2 linked regions of the Cricetulus griseus genome follow. The protein of the gene in region 1 interacts with the protein of each later gene in a biochemical or structural test. Links are inferred from orthologs where the notes say so. Each region holds a gene or a part of one and is shown in the gene's direction. Other genes may lie near its edges. The genes, in order: Rnh1 and Ang.

Region 1 (2,977 bases):
CCCGGGATAGTTTTAGGTTTGCCACAGAGTCAGTCAGGCAATTAGGCATCCCCAGCCCTCCATCAGCCTCCCATGACCATGTCCCAAGACTCTCATGCTGCCTAGCACTGCTAGTCAGATACGGGTTCCCAGCTTTGTCCTGTGACTTGCCCCATTCTTAGTGGCTTAGGAACCCACATGACTTTTACTGATTATCTCATTAGCCCCTTCTGTAGGGTTCCTCTTCCTCTTGTCCTAGTTAACTTTGAGTTTGAGTCTGGATACCTTGCATATGTTCCCTTGGGTAATCTGAGGGCTCTTTGCAGTGGTCATGTGCTTTTGGAGAGTGTGGAGACACTATGGGTGTGGCCTGTTACACTGTCCTGGGTATACAGTGTCCCCATGTGGACATAAATGAGTCATAACTTGCTGTGGTTCATCATAGACTCAAGCTGCTGCAGCTCTGATCAGGTCTGAGTTCCTCTGCCAGCTATCAACATCCGTTGCTACCTTCCCCACCCCTACTCTCAGTGTTGGATCTTTGTGCAAGCTAGGCTTTTTTGTTTGAGAAAGCTTTCTCCCACTGTATAGCCCAGACTGAGTTAGAGCTTGGTGATCCACCTGCCACCACAAATGCCTGTTTCAAGTTTAAACATTGTAGTTATAATCCACATTTGATCTCTTGGCTCCTGATGGGTCCTATCACCTATCATGTGAGATGGTGTGGTGGTTGGGTCTGAGGCCAGCACCATGCTGATCCAGGGGTTCTGTCTGCAGGTTGGATGACTGTGGTCTCACTGAGGTGCGGTGCAAAGACATCAGCTCAGCCATTCAGTCCAACCCCACCCTAACAGAGCTCAGCCTATGCACCAATGAGCTGGGGGACCCTGGCGTGTGCCTGGTACTCCAGGGCCTGCAGAATCCCACCTGTAAGATCCAGAAGCTAAGGTAAGCCAGGGGCTCAGCTCAGTCTATTCAGGGCAGAACCTGAAGTGGCAAAGTAGGCAGCTGTGATGTAGAAAGCCACTGAGAGGTGTGTGAGGTAGGAAGGGATAGGCTGTGGTAATAGGCACTCCCAGCTCCATCCAGAACAACACAGGTAAGTATGAAGTGCAGGGACAGGCCACATTATGGCTATCTTCTAGGCCCTAGCCCCAAGAGAGAATCTGGCTGAGCCACACTGGTATCCTCCTTTGGCCTGGGACCCCATCTAAAGGAAAAGTAGTGCCCCAACCCCTGTAAGGTGTGGTGGGAGCTCTGGCAGGTATGGGCTGAGTCTGTTCATGGCTGCTACTGATGGCATGTGCTTCAGCCTGCAGAATTGCAGCTTGACCGAGGCTGGCTGTAGGGTCCTGCCTGATGTGCTACGTTCTTTACCTACCCTGCGGGAGCTACATCTCAGTGATAATCCTCTGGGAGATGCAGGTCTGAAGCTGCTCTGTGAAGGACTTCTGGACCCCCAATGCCGCCTTGAGAAGCTTCAGTGAGTGTTACCTTGCCAGGATCCCTGTGCTCTTTGCTGCCTCTTACCCAGAGCCCAGCCAGCCATCCTCAGTAAGCCTCACACCAGTACTGTGGATAAGAACCTTAGACGGGACTCCTAGGATTTGAGGGGCTCTCCTTTGCTAGGGGCTGGCAGATGACCTAGCCTCTGAGAGTAGGAACTGATACTGGTGGAGTCTGGCTTGATTCTGTAGTGTGACCCCAGATGGCCTGAAGATACTCTCCAGAGGAACTTGTATCTTTCTGCTGGTTCTGGGAGAGCCTCAGATTTTGAGGTGGGGCACTTTTCAGTAAAAGTTTCCTGAGCCATGTTGGTGTCCACATGAGCCTGAAGGCTGTAGGTATCATTGTGTCTGACCAGATGAGGCCTGAAGAAGCAATGTGAAATGAGATGCCAGCAATCTCTTGTTTCCCTGATACCAAGTTTCTAGGCCCATCCTTAATCCTTTTGATGTGCCTGAGACCTCTGCCTGCCCCCAGGTTGGAATACTGTAACCTCACAGCTACCAGTTGCGAGCCTCTGGCTTCAGTATTTAGGGTGAAACCCAACTTCAAGGAGATAGTGTTGAGCAACAACGACCTCCATGAGGCTGGTGTCCAGATGCTGTGCCAGGGCTTGAAGGACTCTGCCTGTCAACTGGAGTCACTCAAGTATGTACTAAGCCACAGAGGCTAAGGGGTAGGGGCAGGCACCAGTGCTTCTCTCATTATGTCCTATGTCTCCAGGCTGGAGAACTGTGGTATCACATCAGCCAACTGCAAGGATCTGTGCGATGTCGTGGCCTCCAAAGCCTCACTACAGCAACTGGACCTGGGCAGCAACAAGTTGGGTAATGCAGGCATTGCCGCACTGTGCTCAGGACTGCTGCTCCCCAGCTGTAGGATCAGAACTCTGTGGTGAGTCAGCTGCTAGACTTTCCATGGAGATGGGTACATGGTGAGAGACATCCTTCAAGAATGTTGATGTCCCACAGGTTGTGGGAGTGTGATATCACTGCAGAGGGCTGCAAGGACCTGTGCCGTGTCCTCAGGACCAAGCAGAGCCTGAAGGAACTCAGCCTGGCTGGAAATGAGCTGAGAGATGAAGGTGCCCAGCTGCTGTGTGAAAGTCTGCTGGAGCCTGGCTGTCAGCTGGAGTCACTGTGGTGAGCGGGCCTGAGGTTCTTCTATGACAGAATGGGGAATGGGCAGAAATGCAGAAAGGCTAGGGTGGAGTGAGGTTTGGGAGCAGCTGAGGACAGCGCTGGGCTGAGGTGTAGGTACACAGAGGATGAGAGATTGGGAAGGGGTTGGTGAGCCATCTGGGTTCCTTATGAACCTCCAAGGAAAGGGCTAGTTGGAGCTATTGGCTCCAGCCTTTCTGTTCCCACAGGATAAAGACCTGTAGCCTCACAGCTGCCTGTTGTTCCCACATATGCTCGGTGTTGACCAAGAACCGTTCTCTGCTGGAGCTGCAAATGAGCAGCAACCCACTGGGGGACTTGGGAGTCCTGGA
Region 2 (4,300 bases), on another chromosome or scaffold:
CGTCTGCAAAGCCAGGGTGAAACAGGTCGGCGGATCTGGCAGGGTGAATGCAGCTTCCCGCACTGGCCGCCCGCCGCACACCGAGCGCTGTTGCAAGGCTCTGTCCTCACCGCTAGGTGGTTGCCTACCGACTGAACACCGCCCTCAGAGAATAGAGCGTTGTGCTTCCCTTCGATAGCTCAGCTGGTAGAGCGGAGGACTGTAGAGTATATGACAGCCATCCTTAGGTCGCTGGTTCGATTCCGGCTCGAAGGAGTAGCCTACGTTTTGGGCTTTCAACCCTCGAAGTTAATCTCTAGTCCTTTGTTCAAAATCCGAATAGAGACCGTCCTTACTAGCAACCCCGCTCCTGAGAAAGGATACAATAGGTCTTGCTCGGTCTCTGATTATGTAGTGCTAATCACACCGTTACAACAAGGAAAAAGCGCACAACTTGGAATTTGGTTCCTGGCCGTTTTCATTGTTTACTTTTAGTTTCTAACTGAGCCTGCTTTGCTGTCCTATGTCCTAAGTCCAGACACCAAAGACTACAAGGTACAGACCCTCGTGGACACGCTTGTGTGCATGTTTTCAGTGTTCTATTGGCCCGCAGGACTCTGATTTGCAGAACAAAACCTGTAGAGAGAAAGAAAGAAAGAAAGAAAGAAAGAAAGAAAGAAAGAAAGAAAGAGACGGTTATCAATGCATCCTGACAGCCATCGGAACGCCAAAATGTTTAGGATAGACAGATAGACTGCAAATAGCAGGACTGCATCACGGCTCGTTGGTCTAGGGGTATGATTCTCGCTTTGGGTGCGAGAGGTCCCGGGTTCAAATCCCGGACGAGCCCTGCAATTTTACATTCTTTAGTAATTGGATATGGTTCACTTCTCTACAAACTTTCTCCAGTTACAACTATCCTACAGAAAGAGATGGTATCACAGGACTATGCAAATACTAAATTTGGGGGTTCCTGGAGCTTTCCCCGGGCAACCTCACAGGGTCCCCCTGTGTCATGGAGCGTCTGCGGCTTGTGTTCCTCGTAGAGGTCCTCCGGACATCTGCCAGTTTGGTTCCTGTGTAGAACTCACACTGGTTCCCTGCTAGGAAGGAGTCTGGGGTTACTTCTTTGAGTTCTGCAAGCAGGCCCAGCGGGGAGGGGCATCCTTGGAGAAATGGGGTGCGGTCCCAGCCACCGAGGCTGGAACGCCCACCCTCCGCTCCTCTGCACCCGGCCCCAGTCTGTTTGCGTGGCCAGGCAACGCCGACCTCACCCATATCCGCGACGAGATTCCGAAGGAAATTGCATTTCTACTATTCGGAATCCCACTAGGAAAAAAGGGTGAGAAATAAAGTCGCCGCCTCCAGTTCCGCGCCAGGTGGGTTTCTACTCCTGCTCCTCCATAGTTTGGCCAGGAGCGGTTTTGTCTGTGGAACTCCTTTCCAAGCAAGGGCAGTTGTGGGGGTCCTGGGAGACCACTTTTCGGGTCTGATTGATTTCGGAGCTGAGGTGTGGCAGGTATCAACTCTTGCCAGAGTTGGCAATACTCTTTCCACAGTTCCCTCTCCTCAGCTTGGCAGAGTCCGGCGTGGATGCCTTTGTCTAGAACCCAGACTCAGAGGGGACCACAGAATCTGCCAAGGGAGGAGTTCCAGGAACCCCGCCCGCGTTTGCTCAGATAAGGAAGATCTGAGGGTTCCTGGGTTGGCATCAGATTTGTGGAAAAGGCCTGTCAAGGTTGTGCAGGCATGACTTAACATTTGAGGGCTAGTGTTTTTCTTTTTCTATTTCCTGACCCCCGCGAGCCCTTAGCTCACCCTTAAGTGGGTTGTGTAACTTTTGGAGACAAGCGTCAGTAGCCTCCTCCATGCCTTGTCAGTGGGCGGTTGGGATTCTCTTGCTCTGAAGTGCCAGTGCAAATAGGAGCTACGTCCTTACACTGGGACATCTCCAGTGGTCCAGCAGGATCTTCCCTCTGTGACGGCAGTAATTTTTACAGTTAGTTCATACATGCAATCGCTAGAAACCTCAGTAGCCTTATCTATCTGAACAGCTCCTGGCCAACTCCCGAAAGCCCGGCAACTCTTGAAAGAGCTATTCAAAGAGCAGCGCACCACTCAGCGCTGGGCCAGCTTGCTAGTCACACCGGCTTTAATTCAAGAAACTCTTCGCTGATAAAAGGGGAAGTCAAATATTTGGGAGATTTGTGGAAATAATCAGTGTTGGTTTTCTTTAAATGATTTTTTAGTGTTGCTTTAAAAATCAATGATGTTTCTAGAAATCATTGCAATGGGATGTAAAAGTCATATTGTACATTAGAAAGTGTCTAATCACAGGAATGCCAAATGTTCCTTGGTCAATTAATGTCCGTTTCTTTGTTTCTCAATTTCCTTCCTCATCTGTAAAGTGAAGGTCAGAGAGATTGTCATAAGCAACCGCCTGTTGTCATCTTTAACACGATTTTGGATAATGTGGAGTTGAGCTGTAGTTTAACAGGGGTTGTTTAGAAAAAGCAGGCTAGCTATGGCCAGGGTCAGAGATAGGCCTGAAAGCATCATGAGTTAGTTCATCAGTGTCTCAGCTTTGTGGGGTGCAGAGCTCCCATGAGCTTCTGTCTCATCCTTATTCTCTCTGAATCCCATGGACTGTTTGTCTGAGGCATTATTAGTATGACTCCAATCATGGATCAGAAAGAGTCCTGATGCAGGCTGGTGAAACAGCTCTTGAGATTTTCCATTGTATCTGTATTTGAGCAGAGAGCAATCTCTGTAAACAGTTATTCTGAGAATAATTGGAAGCCAGGAATAGGCCAAAGCCCCGTGTGCTGGAAAGTGAATGTTTAATTTGTATCTTGTTTGGAGATTCAGGGAAGTCATCAGGAATTTGTTCCCAATCTCCCTCCCTCAACCATGGGTGAACCCACTTTCTCAAGCCCTAGTCCAGTGAGCTTTTCTCTTTTAGTTGTTGCTTCTGTCACTGATTAAGTGTTAAGTTAGCATTGTAAAGGAATTTACACAGTTCACTCATACCTTCCACACTTGATTCTTCAATGAGTCCTAAGGACAGAGTCAAATGTACATACTCCATATAAAGGGGGGAAATGTCCAAACACTACAATTCTTGGAAGGAGAATGGCATGACTCATTCAAAATTCAAAAACTTTATATCCTGTCCTGGAACTAACTCTATAGAAAAGCTTGGCCTCGAACTCAGCTCTCTGAGTTCCATCTGCCTCTGCCTCCTGAATGCTGGGATTAAAGGCATGCACCACCACTGCCCAGGTGGTTAAAACTTTTTAAGTGAATATTTTTTAAAATTGGCAGTTGTTTTATATGAGTTAAAATTACTGACAAAGATATAATATTCAGGCCCAGGGGTGTGGCTCAGTTGTAGTCTAAGCAGCGTGTCTGAGGTACTGGGTCTGAACCTTAGCAACACACACACACACACACACACACACACACACACACACACACACACACACACGTTCCTCGTTCATAGACTATAATTCTTTGAGCCTTAATAAAATACAAAATTTAAAAATACCCATTTCTGTTTCAATATGTGCCAACTTGAAAAAAAAAAAAAATTCCTGGCCTTTTGTCAAGGAAATGAGCAAGTTCTAAATCCTCCGAGCTGGCAGGTGAGGGGCCGGCCACTTCAGAGAAGGGCCTTGACTGCTGTGATGTCCCTTTGGTTACTCTGTGGCATTCTTACACAGTTCTGAAGAAAAGAGGCGGCTCTGTTTGGACAAGGTGGTGTGTGTGCTGTGGGTTAGGGTGAAGTGTCTGCTTTGCAGCTGTTTACCAGAAAGGGCCTCACTGATAGGTCAACTCTGGCTAAGGGAGTTGGCTGGTATGTCCCCTGGGGGCTGATGAGGCCATCCTGGTGTTGCAATACACTTGGCTGTTCTCCTCTAACAGATGAGTGGTTGATGATTCTAGAGCTCAGTTCTTCCACATCTGCTTAAAAAGTGATGTGTGATCATACATCAAATAGGTATGTTTGCACACTGAACATTCCGGTGCTTAGCTGGATATCAGTAGAGGTCTCACCTTGAAGGTCCCCGATACTATTGCTTCTCTGTCCTTCTGAAACACTTTACATTTTGTCATTTGGCAGAACAAAGTTTGGCACTTGTCACATGGAAACACTGGTCAGAAGTGTGCTTGTGCCTTCCTTCCAGAGACTGTAGTCCCTCAAGTCACCAATGCAGAGACAGAAGGCAGGCTAAGACCGCTTGCTGAGTCATCTAATCACAACCCCAGTCTCATTTCCTTTCAGCTCACAGTTGGGTTAGGAGTGCAGGGGGAAGGGAAA

The links.
Region 2: the proteins of Rnh1 (region 1) and Ang are reported together in a solved structure, tested with the Homo sapiens proteins (3 studies listed by BioGRID and IntAct, with this or other methods). The link is inferred for Cricetulus griseus from reciprocal best matches to the Homo sapiens genes RNH1 and ANG.

Annotation. Positions count from the first base shown.
Region 1 is NC_048596.1:60,018,750-60,021,726, forward strand, and holds part of Rnh1 (ribonuclease inhibitor), read left to right. Parts: intron 1-756; coding exon 757-927; intron 928-1,291; coding exon 1,292-1,462; intron 1,463-1,962; coding exon 1,963-2,133; intron 2,134-2,208; coding exon 2,209-2,379; intron 2,380-2,456; coding exon 2,457-2,627; intron 2,628-2,854; coding exon 2,855-2,977. UniProt on the Homo sapiens protein: Ribonuclease inhibitor which inhibits RNASE1, RNASE2 and angiogenin (ANG). May play a role in redox homeostasis. Required to inhibit the cytotoxic tRNA ribonuclease activity of ANG in the cytoplasm in absence of stress.
Region 2 is NW_023276807.1:206,774,539-206,778,838, forward strand, and holds the start of Ang (angiogenin), read left to right. Parts: upstream 1-1,219; 5' UTR 1,220-1,358; intron 1,359-4,300. UniProt on the Homo sapiens protein: Secreted ribonuclease that can either promote or restrict cell proliferation of target cells, depending on the context. Endocytosed in target cells via its receptor PLXNB2 and translocates to the cytoplasm or nucleus.